Linked DNA regions of Rhinolophus ferrumequinum. The protein of the gene in region 1 interacts with the protein of each later gene in a pairwise test. Links are inferred from orthologs where the notes say so. Each region holds a gene or a part of one and is shown on either strand. Other genes may lie near its edges.

The links.
Region 2: the proteins of DMPK (region 1) and HSPB2 interact in a two-hybrid assay, tested with the Homo sapiens proteins (2 studies listed by BioGRID). The link is inferred for Rhinolophus ferrumequinum from reciprocal best matches to the Homo sapiens genes DMPK and HSPB2.

Annotation. Positions count from the first base shown.
Region 1 is NC_046298.1:42,059,074-42,066,345, reverse strand, and holds the start of DMPK (myotonin-protein kinase), read left to right. Parts: upstream 1-4,238; 5' UTR 4,239-4,413; coding exon 4,414-4,573; intron 4,574-6,849; coding exon 6,850-6,941; intron 6,942-7,202; coding exon 7,203-7,272. Other genes in the region: DMWD (dystrophia myotonica WD repeat-containing protein), read left to right, coding at 229-1,506, 2,324-2,398, 2,693-2,740. UniProt on the Homo sapiens protein: Non-receptor serine/threonine protein kinase which is necessary for the maintenance of skeletal muscle structure and function.
Region 2 is NC_046294.1:80,287,665-80,294,324, forward strand, and holds HSPB2 (heat shock protein beta-2), read left to right. Parts: upstream 1-4,486; 5' UTR 4,487-4,897; coding exon 4,898-4,991; intron 4,992-5,474; coding exon 5,475-5,929; 3' UTR 5,930-6,136; downstream 6,137-6,660. Other genes in the region: CRYAB (alpha-crystallin B chain), read right to left, coding at 906-1,109, 2,388-2,510, 3,644-3,844. UniProt on the Homo sapiens protein: May regulate the kinase DMPK.

The sequences.
Region 1 (7,272 bases):
AGCAGACAGTTCTTCCAAGACGGGACATGTAGGCTCCACAGACTCCTGTGGCCACCTCGTGGGTATCCCTTCCCCCCTGCGTTCCCATGCCTGTCAGTTTCCCTGGGTGGCGGCCTCTCTTCCAGGAGGTCTGGGCCATGTCTGATGGCCTCCTGGGGAACCAGGTTGGGGAGGAAGCTTGCCAGGGGCTGATTGCCTTCTCCCAACCCCCACGGTCTCCTTTGGCAGCGGCTGATCGACAAGACCAAGGTGACATATCTGAAGTGGCTGCCTGAGTCGGAGAGCCTGTTCCTGGCATCACACGCCAGCGGCCACCTGTACCTGTACAACGTCAGCCACCCATGTGCCTCGGCACCGCCCCAGTACAGCCTGCTGAAGCAGGGGGAGGGCTTCGCTGTCTACGCTGCCAAGAGCAAGGCGCCCCGCAACCCACTGGCCAAGTGGGCGGTGGGCGAGGGGCCCCTCAACGAGTTTGCATTCTCGCCCGATGGCCGGCATCTGGCCTGTGTCAGCCAGGACGGCTGCCTGCGCGTCTTCCACTTCGACTCCATGCTCCTTCGGGGGCTCATGAAGAGCTACTTTGGGGGCCTGCTCTGCGTGTGCTGGAGCCCCGACGGGCGCTACGTCGTGACAGGTGGTGAGGATGACCTGGTCACCGTGTGGTCCTTCACTGAGGGCCGCGTGGTGGCCCGTGGCCACGGCCACAAGTCCTGGGTCAATGCTGTGGCCTTTGACCCTTACACCACGAGGGCTGAGGAGGCGGCAGCCGCCAGTGGTGAGGGGGAACCGAGTGGTGAGGAGGAGGAGGAGGAGGAGGAGCCAGAGGCCACGGGCCCAGGCTCGGGAGGGGGAGCCCCCCTGTCGCCGATGCCCAAGGCCGGCTCCATCACCTACCGCTTTGGCTCCGCTGGCCAAGACACGCAGTTCTGCCTGTGGGACCTCACCGAAGATGTGCTTTACCCACACCCACCCTTGGCTCGCACCCGCACACTTCCCAGCACGCCTGGCACCACACCACCTGTCGCCAGCAGTTCTCGGGGTGGCGAGCCAGGCCCCGGGCCCCTGCCACGCTCGCTGTCCCGCTCTAACAGCCTTCCTCACCCAGCGGGCAGTGGCAAGGCGGGCGGCCCAGGCGCGGTGACAGAGCCAGGCACGCCATTCAGCATCGGCCGTTTCGCCACACTCACGCTGCAGGAGCGGCGAGACCGGGGCGCTGAGAAGGAGCACAAGCGCTACCACAGCCTGGGCAACATCAGCCGGGGGGGCGGCGGGGGCAGCAGCAGCGGGGACAAGCCCAGCGGCCCCGTGCCCCGCAGCCGGCTGGACCCAGCCAAGGTGCTGGGCACAGCGCTGTGCCCGCGCATCCATGAGGTGCCGCTGCTCGAGCCCCTGGTGTGCAAGAAGATCGCCCAGGAGCGGCTAACGGTCCTCCTGTTCCTGGAGGACTGCATCATCACCGCCTGCCAGGAGGGCCTCATCTGCACCTGGGCCCGGCCGGGCAAGGCGGTGAGTCAGCCACTCCAGCCAGCCTGGGACCCAGGAAGAGGCGGGTATTGGCAGAGGACTTTGTCACTGTCACAGCCTCTAGCCCTGTGGGATGAGGGGAAGCCATGGAAATCTTAGGGTCTCAGATCTTAGAGTGACAGGCTCCAGAACCCTTGGTGACAATAAGGAGAGTGGGTCAGTTAGAAGAGACAGCTGGGAGTGAGCCAGGCTATGAATGAGCCCAGCATGGCCAGGTCTTAACACTTGTTACTTGAAGCTGGGTCTGTATTTCTATGGAAAATACTATTTTTCTAAATAAATCTTTTTGCATATTGTGGGTCAAACTCTGGGCAAGACTGAGCCTTGGGCCCAGCTTCCAGCCTGGGTCTGGACTGTTGGGGTCTGAGACCACTGCTGAAGGCACGGACTGTGGAATCCCAGGCTCGGGGTCCAGTCCTGCTCTGCTCCCTGTGTGACTTCGGGCAAGTCCCTAGTCTCCACTTAGGACAGGGAAGCTCGAAGATGGCTGGATGGGTAGGGATGCGTCCAGCTCCTGGGGTGGCCTTGTGGTTCAGGAAAACCCCGGGAGGTGGAGCACAGGCCTGGCACCTCGTAACCTTGGCGCTCTGGGCTCCTGTCTTGAGCTCCTCGGGGTCTGGGCTCGGGCGCACAGGATACCAGGTCTGACAGCCATGGCTTAGTTCCTCAGAAGAGCGGTTTTGGAATCATAAGGTTCTGTATCCCTAGAACTTACAGCCCAGTCTCAGAGCCTCAGAAGTGGGGCATTGGGATTTGGGGAGTCTGGCAAGTCCTGAAGGAGACCCCTCTATCTCCCTAGTTCACAGACGAGGAGACCGAGGCCCAGGCAGGGGAAGGAAGTTGGCCCAGGTCACCCAGCAAGTCAGTGGTAGAGGTAGGACTGTCCCTGAGTTCTCTCCCCCCCAGAATCTCAGGACACCCCCTCAGTCAGAAGGGGACCCCAGTTTCCCCTCTCTTCCCCACCTCCTCCTCCACCCTGTCCCCTCTGCTCAGGATCACCTGAGTACTTTAATTATTGTATAAAAGTGCCGCCTGCTGAGACAAGGAAGCTAGCGGAGATGTAAGTTTCTGAGCCTAGAGCAGCGGCCTCTGGAGGGTGGGGGGGTCTGGGCTGGCCGAACCCCACATGGTCTCTAACCCCTCCTATCTCCCCTCTCATCTTCCCCAGGGCATCTCCTCTCAAGCAGGCAACTCCCCAAGCGGCACAGTGGTGTGAAGCCATGGATGTCGGGGTCCCCCACCCCACCCCCCGCTCCTAGCCATAACTCCCTGCTGACCTCACGGATCAACGGATTAACAAGACTAACCATGACGGATGGACTGCTCCGGTCCCCCATTATGCACAAATTTGGGGGGCAGAGGGTCCCCAGACTGGCCCAGACCCTGGGGGGATGTAGTGGCCTGTGTGGCCTCAGCCTGTCCCCACCCACTGCCAAGTACAATGACCCTTCCTCTGAAACATCAGTGTTAGCTTCATCCCTGTCCCCAGCATGTGACTGGTCACTCCAGGGAGGCGAGAAGCTCCCCACTCACAAGAGCCCCAGCTCTGCCGTGTGCCCCTCATCTGTGGGCAGGGCAGGGGTGGCCCACCCCTCCCTTGGCCCTGCCCCCCTTGCTGTTGTTTGTGCTTTTAAAGAGTGTTAAGTTATGGAAGCCCCTTGGGGCCCTCCCTATCCCCAGCACCTCTTATTTATACTAAAGCTCCCTGTTTTCTCAGTGTAGCGTCTCTTCCTTCAGTGGCAGTGTGGAGGAAGTGTGTGTGTGCTTGCACTGCGTTGCCTGATCAATCCACTTTCACCAGGGAGCAGCCAGGCCCTGCATCCCCCACCACCCTCACCTCTCCCGCCCCCTTTTAATAGCAGGAAAAACGGAAGGCAGGAGGAGGGACGCCCTCTTCAAAGTCCTCCCCGGGAGTTTGCAGAGTTGTTTGAAAATGCCCAAGCTGTCCAAATCAGAAATGACAGGGCCTTCCTAGGTGGGGTCCCACAGGCAGCTCCCAAGGCCTAGCGTGAGTGGCCTTGAGCACAGGTCTGCTGCCTCAGGGCCTGGCTCGCCTAGCCTGCCAGCGACCATGGCTTCCTCCCGGAGAACTGTCCGTCCTGGAAAGGACAACGAAATCCCTCCTGGCTGGCTCTCCCGTTCCGCCCTCCACCCCCCGAAATGTTTCTGTTTCTAATCCTAGCCTGGGCAGGAATGTGGCTTCATGCCAGGGGCCAAGGAGCTATTTTGGGGTCTCCTTTGCCTCCTCCAGGCTTTGGCCAGTGGATCACCCCCGGTCCTGGCTCCTGAGGGCCTCCCTTCCCGATTCTTTCACCACCCCTTCCCCACCTCCTGCCAAAAAAAAGTCAGTGTAAAGCAGAGGGCCTGAGGGCTAAATTTAAACTGGCCCAAAGTCTGAATCTGGGGCTGAGTCACCCGCAAAGCTGCCCTGGCCTCCTGTCCCCCTTCCCAGGCCTCACCCCTTTCTCCTCCCCCCAACTCCAGGGCTTGGGAGGGGTGTTACCAGGTAACTCTGGACCTCAGTAGGCCCCCTCTGGGGAATGGGAGGGCTCATGTTTGGCCTGTCACACCTGTAGCGTTCCTTTGTGCTCCGCCTTTTTATGGGCTGGGTGTGTATTGAGTGTTGAGATTCTCCACCCCCTTAATCTCACGGAAGCGTTCTGGGGGGCCTGGCTTATCAGGGGTTAAGGCAGGGAGGGGGCCGGCCGAGGGGAGGGGAGAGGGGAGGAGGCCTTTGCAGCCAGCAGAGAGAAGTGGCCAGAGAGGCCCAGGGGACAGCCAGGGACAGGCCGACATGCGGCCAGGGCCCCAGGGCCTGGACAGGGGCTGCCAGGCCCCGTGACGGAGGACCCCGAGCCCCTGGAGGGGCCATGGTGTTGCCTGCCCGACATGTCAGCCGAGGTGCGGCTGAGGCGGCTCCAGCAGCTGGTGCTGGACCCCGGCTTCCTGGGGCTGGAGCCCCTGCTCGACCTTCTCCTGGGCGTCCACCAGGAGCTGGGCGCCTCCGACCTGGCCCAGGACAAGTACGTGGCCGACTTCTTGCAGTGGGGTGAGTGCCTGCTGGCATGGGCTCCCCCACATTGGGAGGGTGAGGGCAGGGCAGAGGCAGGAGATGGGGTCGGGCTCTCAGGGGTATCAGGATAGTTATGGGGAGAGATCGTTCAGGGGCCCAGAGCTTGGACCTGGGTCCTGGGGTGACATGCCCCTACCTTTGTGCCACCCTGGCCAGGCAGAGTGGGGTCAGCAGAGTCCAGGGCAGCCATGACTCAGAACCATGATTTGGGAGCCATGGTAGGCTGGGCTGGGAAGTCTCTCATGGCCCCCCCCCAAGCATCCCCTTCCCCGAGTCTAGGCCTAGGGACATGCTGGGAGCCCCATCTCCTAGAACCCCCACACACCAAAACGGGCCCTGTGGCCTCAACCCTGGCTTCCCAGAGCATGGGCTAGCAGAAGGGATAGGATGGGGCAGCTGCCAGGGGTGCGGCCGGCAGGCAGGTGTTCGGCGCCAGCCTCTCCAGCTGCCCCAACAGGTGCCCAGGCACTGGGAGGGTGCAGTGACTCAGGCAGGCCCTGGGGGAGAACCAGCTCTGCAGACAGGCACCACCCAGCACCCCCTCCACCCCTTGGATGAAGGACCCCTCCCCCATTGGTCTTGGTCCCTCCTAGTCTGCATGTGCCAGCCTTAAACTCCCCTCCAGCTCCCCAGGTCCTTTCATTCTAGTTCATGACCTCCAGCTTTCCAGCTCTCCCCAAAGCCCCCTCTTGCCAGGCCTTTCCCTGGAGAAAGGCCCAGAGGGAAGATGCTACAACCTCAGCCTCCTGTGTTGTCTGCTCACATGCTCTCCTGGCCCAGGACTCAGACTCACTGGAGTTTCTCTGTGACCCCTGCCACTGTACCTCCACTGATCTGTCCCTCAGTGACTTGCTCTTGGTCCTGAGGTTCTTGTGTGTCCCTAGTTCTCTCCGTCCCTCTGTTTCCTCTCTCTGCCTTGTCCTGCTCCCTCTTTACTTGTGTCCATGTCTTTGGGACCCAGGCCCTGCTCCTGTCCGTCCCCCTCCCATTTTCAAGATAGGAAGGTGGAGGTCAAGGGCCAGGCCACTCAGCCTCTGGAAAAACCTTCTCTCCACCTTCCCCCAGCCCTTAGCAACTCTCTTAGTCCCCCTTTTGCAGAGGACTGGCAGGGTAAACTGAGGCTGAGGTGGGGGCAGGGGTCCGGCTCTCCCCTGAGGAGCACTCCTTTTGTGGCCCGAGCAGCATCCTACGGCCCCTCCCCTGTGGGCTGCCAGGGCGGGGGAGGGGGCCTGGGTTCCCGCTGCCTTAAAAGGGCTCAATGTCTTGGCTCTCTCCTCCCTCCCCCATCCTGGGCCCTGACTGTTTCTTCCCTGACGGCCCACTCTCCCCGAACCCCATGGGGGCCCCCTCTGCCCTCCATAACTCACTGTATCACCCCTCATTCCTACTTGCACCCATCCCTCTCTCCACCCTGCCTCCGAGTTCCCCAGAGGCTTCTACCCCCAGGGGGTCCAGGTTTCCCTCTCTGTGTCCCTGAGTCTCCTGCCTCCACCCCCAGGCTCCCTATTCCCAACCTGCTCTGTTTAACATTCTTAGCTGTAAGACCTTGGACAAATAACTTCACCTGTCTGAGCCTGGAGTCCCCATCTGTAAATAAGGGATAATAATAGAGTGCTCCTCCTGGAGTTGAGAGAGAGGACTTTGAGAACACTTGAACCGGCCTGGCGCCCAGATGCGGTCACTCTCTCCTAGTTCTCTTGGCCCTCTGCCCCCAAATCCAGTGTTTCCCAAAGTGTGGTCCAAGAGCCACCTGACTCTGAACCTAGAGGAACTGGATAAAACTGCATGTTCCAGAATGGACTGAGAGAAGCCTGGAGTGGGCCGGGCTTTCCCCATCACTCTGAGTTGGGGTGGGGGCCTGAAGCCCAGGGAGTACTGGGCCTATTCTTCCTGCATTCTTCAGGGCCTCCCTTCTGCAGACTTGCCTTCCTCCCCATCATCCTGCTCCCACAAATCCCTCTGGCCCAATGCCTTGTTCAAAAAAGGGGTTCCCAGGCACCCCACCTTTCTCTGTAGGAGGGCTGTTTTGCGGCCACAAAACCTCACACAGTGTGTGGGAAGCCCTTGGGAAGCAGACAGTCCTAAAGGGAGGGGCAGAGGGAAGGGGACACTGAGGGACAGAGAAAGGGGGAGACCGAGAGACCCAGGACAGAACGAGGGGCAGGGAGACTGAGGGCCAGAGGGTGGGACTTCTCCTCGTCTCCAGTGTCAGTCCCAGTGACCCTCAGTTCTCGTCGCCCCCCGCCCCCCAGTGGAGCCCATCGCGACAAGGCTTAAGGAGGTCCGGCTGCAGAGGGAAGATTTCGAGATTCTGAAGGTGATCGGACGCGGGGCGTTCAGTGAGGTGAGCCCTGAGGTGTGGTGGTTGCTCCGCTTGGCGGGAGCCTCGACTTTCGGTGCTTTGGGAGGGAGGCAGGAGTTTGGGGCGGGGCCTTAGAAATTGATGAATGAGTTTAGAACCGGAGACCAGCAGGGGATGGGGGCGGGACTTGAGGCCAGTGGGCGTGATGTGGCTGGTGGGCGGGGTTTAGGGTGGAGTGCCGTCTGAGCCAGCCTGTTTGCTCCTCCGCCACCTCCACCCAAGTCACCCCGTTTCAACCTTCAGGTAGCGGTGGTGAAGATGAAGCAGACCGGCCAGGTGTACGCCATGAAGATCATGAATAAGTGGGACATGC
Region 2 (6,660 bases), on another chromosome or scaffold:
TTTATGCCAGATAACATACACCAGGGCTATTTTTCATTAATTGAATCAGAAGTTTTGTCTAGGCTAACAAAATAAAATGAAGATGTTTTTATAGAGTAATATGTCCTTGTTTAAGCTAAATAATAGACTCACTTATTGATCAGTTATTAATTATAATTCTAAAACAACTTTTTTATGGTGGGTCATTGAATTGGGTATTTCCCAGTCTTGGTTTTAATAGGTATTTGCTGGATAATTTAGAGACTACACCTGAGAGGCTTGTTTGATGATAATCACTCAAGTCCTATTGAATTGCCTTTGTGAATCAGCTGAAGGCAATACTTATCAACAGGAAAATGTCAAATATCATGGGCGGTGAGGTGGTACCATCTCCTCCCTGGAAACATGATTAATTTCAGAGAGGCACTAGGGCTTTTTATGCGTTGTTTTCCAGAGTTTATTCAGATTTGTTGTTGGAACTGAGGGCCTAAATCAAAGAGGGAGGACAGAGAGGAACTCCTTGAACTCTGCCAAGGGCTTTAACTACTTTTTCTCCTTAATTTACTCCTTACAACAAGCGTACAAATCAGTAACCCCATGTTATAAATGGAAGTCCTACAGGCTAGAAAGATTAAATGACTTGCTAAATTTATAATGTTAGTAAGTGGTGGAGATATTCATTCTGACTCTGGAGCCCCCTAAATCATAATGTGATGATTAAATGGATGTGCTGTATTTGTCCATTTGAAAAAGTAAACGTGGAATATTCAAACACAAGACAGTTATCTGTTGCTGAATGATATTTTATTAGCTTAATAATTTGGGCCTGCCCTTAGCATTAATAAACTTCAGCACTAGTCACAAGATTTCCATTCACTGGTGGGGAAAGTTTTTTGTTTTAAAAAATGCAATTAGAGAGAGGGCATCTACTTCTTGGAGGCTGCAGTGACAGCAGGCTTATCTTCACGGGTGATGGGAATGGTGCGCTCGGGGCCAGAGGCCTGTTTCCTTGGTCCATTCACGGTGAGGACCCCATCAGATGACAGGGACGAAGTAATGGCTAGAGGGTCCACATCCGCTGGAATCCGGTATTTCCTGTGGAACTCCCGGGAGATGAAACCATGTTCATCCTAATCCAAGAGAACAAGGAAAGAGGCAGAGAGATAAGAACAGGAAAATAGCACCACTTGCTTAGAACTCAAACATCCTCCTTCCCCTTAGGAATGACCAATACTGTGGCAACATGAAAAAAAGCTGTCCTTTTTGGGACGAAGAAGAAGCTGCCTAGGTGGTCACTCCTACCAATGAGAATCTGAGAAGTCTGAAACAGGCAAAACTTCATAACCCGGAGGCATGGATATGTTTAGATGTATTTCCCAGAGGATTAGATCTATGTTTGTTGGGCCTACAGGATTTGGAATATCATCCGGCATTGAAGATCTGAATCCCTAAGGAAGCTTAGAAATTGTCTTGACTCTTCAGGGAAGGTCCCAGAATGTTCCAGGCCAATAGGACTGCTACCATTAGGGGAAAAAAAAAAAAAAAAAAAAAAGACTCCATCCAGGGAGACTCTGACCCAAACTAAAATCATACACACAAAACAGAAACAGGCGGAGGGACTAAAACTGTACTGTTTGATGAATAAGGTTCTCAGTTATCACCAATTGGTAAGAAGCAAACCCATCAAAAAACCCTCCCAGAAAGTGATGAGAAGTTATTCCATCCTTGAGTATTCTGCTAAAGAGCAGTGGACCCTAACCCTTATATCTGCTGAATCTCAAGCATTTATCCAGACAGGCTCTTAATTAACTGATTTCTACATGGGCTCTACAGTATTAGGAGCTGAGTACAGCTCTGAAACTTAGGCAGACCGTGTAGTTCAGGACTAAGAAGGGCTAAACAGAAAAGGATTCCTGAACATCTAAAAGAAAAGTCCCAAACTCAAGAGCCTTCGGGGTACATGCAGTTAATGTAATTATGAAAAGCAACCAGGTGTCGGACAAGCACTATGCCTAAGTCAGCGGTCTTCATCCTTGACTGTACATTAGAATTACCTAGGGAGCTTTATAAAAATGTTGATGCCTAGGTTCCATCCCTAAAAATTCTGATTTAATTGGTCTGAGATAAACCAGAGCACTGGAATTTTTTACAATTCCCTTTGTGATTCTAACGTGGCTAAGGTTTCGGACCACTGGCTTAAATGGGAAGCCCATTTGTCCTATCTAAGGCAATCAAATCAAAACAAACAACGGATCATGTCTCTGGCCAAAACAACAACAACAACGCCAGGTCTATCCCTGTTCCAGACCCTAATGGTTTAGGACTGAAATGTTGCCAGCCTCAAAGGCTGATGGTATGTATATAGTATGCCCTGAATGAATGAACAGTAGAGAAAACAAGCTGCATACCTGGCGCTCTTCATGTTTGCCGTGCACCTCAATCACATCTCCCAGCACCTTGACCTTGAGTTCCTCTGGGGAGAAGTGCTTCACATCCAGGTTGACAGAGAATCTGTCCTTCTCCAGACGCATCTAGAAATAGTAAGGTGGAGAGGAGGGGGTAGGAGAAAAATATGGTAGGAATGTGGATAAGTAGTGCAGTCTTACCATTCTGCTGACTTGCTTTCTAGGCAGGTAATTTAGTCTCCTCTTTTTGGCAAAAAAATTCCTTTTTAAATAAACATGATTCTCTGGTTTAGGGGAGCCACCACAGTGGTACCCAAGGCACAGCACTTGGTCATCAGGATCAAACTTTATTTACAGGGACAGGGAAGACAACAGGCCACCCAGGGGGAATAATCACAAGGATGGGTCTGGGCCTGGCTTCTACTGCCTCTCTGACCCCAATGCCTGGCCTTGTCATTTGTCTGTTAGACAAAGGCCTCTTCTTCTTGCTCAGGTCTCTGCCAAGTTTCCCACCCACTCAATCTGGAATGTTGTGCTGGCCATGATTGTCTTTCCAAAGCCCTTGCCCACTCAGCTCCTATTTATTCACACTTGAATATTTTTAAACTAGAGTGTTATCTGTGACGGCTTCTGTCCACCTTGTATGTTCACTCCATTCTCTCGCCCTCTTAGGACAAGTGGGGGTCCTAAGACTGGACCTACATCTTTCCTCCTTAGGCTTAGACCCAGGCCAGTGCCCTGTCACAGCCCTGAGAAACTCAGAAAATCACAGAAGAGGGAGTAAGAAGGAAGAAAATAGCGGTTGCTGTCTCCAGCTCCATTCAGTGGGGATGACAAACTCACAATGAGGTAGGGCTGTCTCCTGGTCTGAAACTTAAGATGATAAAATTTGTCAGGAGTATGAGGTATTAGAAATGGTGAGCAAAGGAGTTTGAAGGCAGCTCTTTCCCTGTAGATACTTATGAACAAAACCAGAAAGGGGCATCCTTCTTAGAAGTTAGGGTATGGATGATCTTCCTAGCACATGGGAAAGATGTAGTAAGTAGGATATAGAGAAGCATCAAAGACAAACAGGTGACTGGGGGAGAGACAGAGGAACTAGTAACCTCATCTTTCTTCGCTGCAGGACACGCAATTGCGTAAGAGATTTAGGACACTTAGACATAGCCAGATTTAGACAGACAGGAGAAGTAGAGCAGACAGACATTTTTCCAGAAGGTTCAGGAAGAACTCTCCTGTCCTACAGAGGGGAGACTTACCTCTGAGAGCCCAGTGTCAACCCAGCTGGGTGCCCGCAGGAATGAGGGCAGCCGAAAGTAGAAAGGGCTCAGGGAAGTAGAAGGTGGGAAGAAATCAGACTCCAACAGGTGCTCTCCAAAGAACTGGTCAAAGAGGCGGCTGGGGGAGTGGAAAGGAAAGAAGGGGCGTCGGATCCAGGGGTGGTGAATGGCAATATCCATGGTGGCTTTTTGACTGCTGGGGGTCAGCTGGCTGGTCAGCTCCTTCAGCTGCAGCTACAACCAGCGCTTTATATATGCAGTCTTGTGAAGCTTCTGGAACGGTGATGTCAGGGGTTTTATTATCCTAGCTCACCACCCGTTCATAGAGACTTGTGATCGGAGATTTGGCAGTGTGACACATACCCAGTACTCACTGAGCTAAGAAAAGAGAAATACAAACACGTCTGAGCTGTCCAGTGACTTGCCCTGGACTTGTTTCACTAGCTTTCTGCCCACACCCTATCCCCCCCACCCCGTCCCTCCCGCCCCCCTTGACTGGGACAGAGTCAAGAATCCCAAGCAGGCAGGAGGTGTGCCCCTCCTCCTCTCCAGCCTAGGGAGCCAGGGGAATCCAGCCAGCAACTATCTTGGGCCTGGGCAGGAACTGGAATCTTCCTTGGCTGGGCCCCAGAGACATTAACTCTTTGTGGGTCCCTGGAGGAGAGCAGTGATCACCAACATGTCTGTGGCAGGCATCTGTGTGGTGCTCAAAGTTGATGTGGGTTCAGGTAAGGACCCTGACATTAATCTGGGCAGGAAGAGCCCTCACCCCACCCCAAAGAGAAGGAAGAAAAGTGTTCCTCTTTCACCTTATAAGGCTGGCAGAACATTAAATCCAGGAGAGCTTTATGAAGTGGGGTGCGACTGAGGAGGAGAAAAGGTGGCGTGGACAATGTGCAAACTGTGAGGGTCTCAGCGAGGCCTCTCTAGGGCCTCTAATGCTAGCCACCGCTCCCCAGCTCGCTCCCCAGCCAGGACCCCCAGCTGTCCTCTGGAGTCCCCTGCGACAGCTGAAGGGTGTGCAGGGGAGGGGGCGGGGGTCCAGGCAGCGCTGGTCACACACTCTTGGCTGGCGCTCAGGGCCCCGCTGCCCGCCCCTCCCCGAGGCTCGAGGCTCGACACTATTTTGGGTGGTGTAGACCCCGCCCCCACCTCGGACCGAGCCCTGGCTCTCCAGGCAGCTGGTGGGGTCTCGGTGCACCTCGGACCGGGGCCTCTGACACGTCTGCAACCATGTCGGGCCGCTCGGTGCCACATGCCCACCCAGCCACCGCCGAGTACGAGTTTGCCAACCCGAGCCGCCTGGGTGAGCAGCGCTTCGGAGAAGGTATGGCACAGCCGCCACTTCCTTGCCTCCCACCCCCACCGCCTGAAATTCTGGGCTGACCTCCCAACGGTGCTGGCCTCCACCCCACTCCGGGCTTAACTGAACTCCTGGGGCGAGCCATCTCCCACCCCAGCTCCCCCCTCACTCCCTCCAAGCAGGGCTCTTTTCCCTTTCTACTGACCTCAGAGTAGAGGTGGTAAGAGCAGTGCTCTGACACCTGCCCCCTGCCCCCCTAAGGATGCCTCTTGTTCCCCTTCTGTTTACCCAGTTCTGCTTTGGTTTGCCCTCCTCTGCCCCCATCTCATTTCCTTTCTCAATCCCTTCTCCCCGTTGCCTCCTTCTAGTCGCTGTGTCCCCCACCCTCTCCCCTTACCTACTTCTGACTCCCCTCCTGCTCTCCCCAGTCCTCATCTCTCATTTCACCCCGTTCCTACCTCATGCTCCCTCATCCTGCCTCTTGCCTTCTCTTTCTCTGCCCCTCAGGCCTCCTACCAGAAGAGATCCTGACCCCCACCCTCTACCATGGCTACTATGTCCGGCCCCGGGCCACCAGAGCTGGGGAGGGCAGCAGGGCAGGGGCCTCCGAGCTCAGGCTCAGTGAGGGCAAGTTCCAGGCATTTCTGGACGTGAGCCACTTTACCCCAGATGAGGTGACCGTGAGGACTGTGGACAACTTGCTGGAGGTGTCTGCCCGGCACCCCCAGCGCCTGGACCGCCACGGCTTCGTGTCCCGAGAGTTCTGCCGCACCTATGTCCTGCCTGCTGATGTTGACCCCTGGCGGGTCCGTGCTGCTCTCTCGCATGATGGCATCCTTAACCTGGAGGCGCCTCGGGGTGGCCGACATTTGGACACTGAGGTCAATGAGGTCTATATCTCCTTGCTCCCTGCACCTCCTGATCCGGAGGAAGAGGAGGAGGCAGCCAGAGTTGAGCCCTGAGTGCCACAGACCCAGCACCCAGCACTTTCTCCCTCGTGCAATGATATGAGCAGCTGCCACCACCGGAGAGGCAGCAGCATCCTTGGGGGAATGGAAAAGTGCATGGGCCACAATGTATGGTTTGGTCCCTTGGGACATGTCCTAGTCTTTGGTTTAGTTCTGGGTGGAGCTGAATAAACCCAAATCTCAGGGCCTTGTTTGTGCCGCTCCCTATTCTGTGGCCTGGAGGAGGGGGTGGGCAGGGAGGGAAGAGGTCTCATAGCCATCTAGAGAAAATGCTCCTCAGTTAGGTGTACCCAGCACTACAGAACCCTGAGCTCGCACTTGGATGCTGAGGTCACACCCAGAAGCTAACACTGGCTCCAGATTAAATTCCTAGCCATAATTTTCTCACAATGCAACAAAAGAGAGAGTGATCCTGGGAGGGAAAAGGGATATGCCATCCAAACAGCCCAGAGGGCACTGTCTGAGCTGGTGATTAGAAACACAAAAACAAGGGTCTCCAGACTGTCTGGCTTATTTGGGGTAGGGGTTGGGAAAGCAGGTTTTGGCTGGAGAGGATTGCCTACAGCCCTGTTTTCCCATCCTGAGGTCTGTCCACTGAAAATGGTCTCTGATTCTGAAGGACCAAGTATGTATACACAAGGGTACAGACGCAGAAATCTCTGCCATTATCACCAAACCACTATCCTCCGCACAGGGGAGGCCCATGACAGAAATTTGCCTCCTAT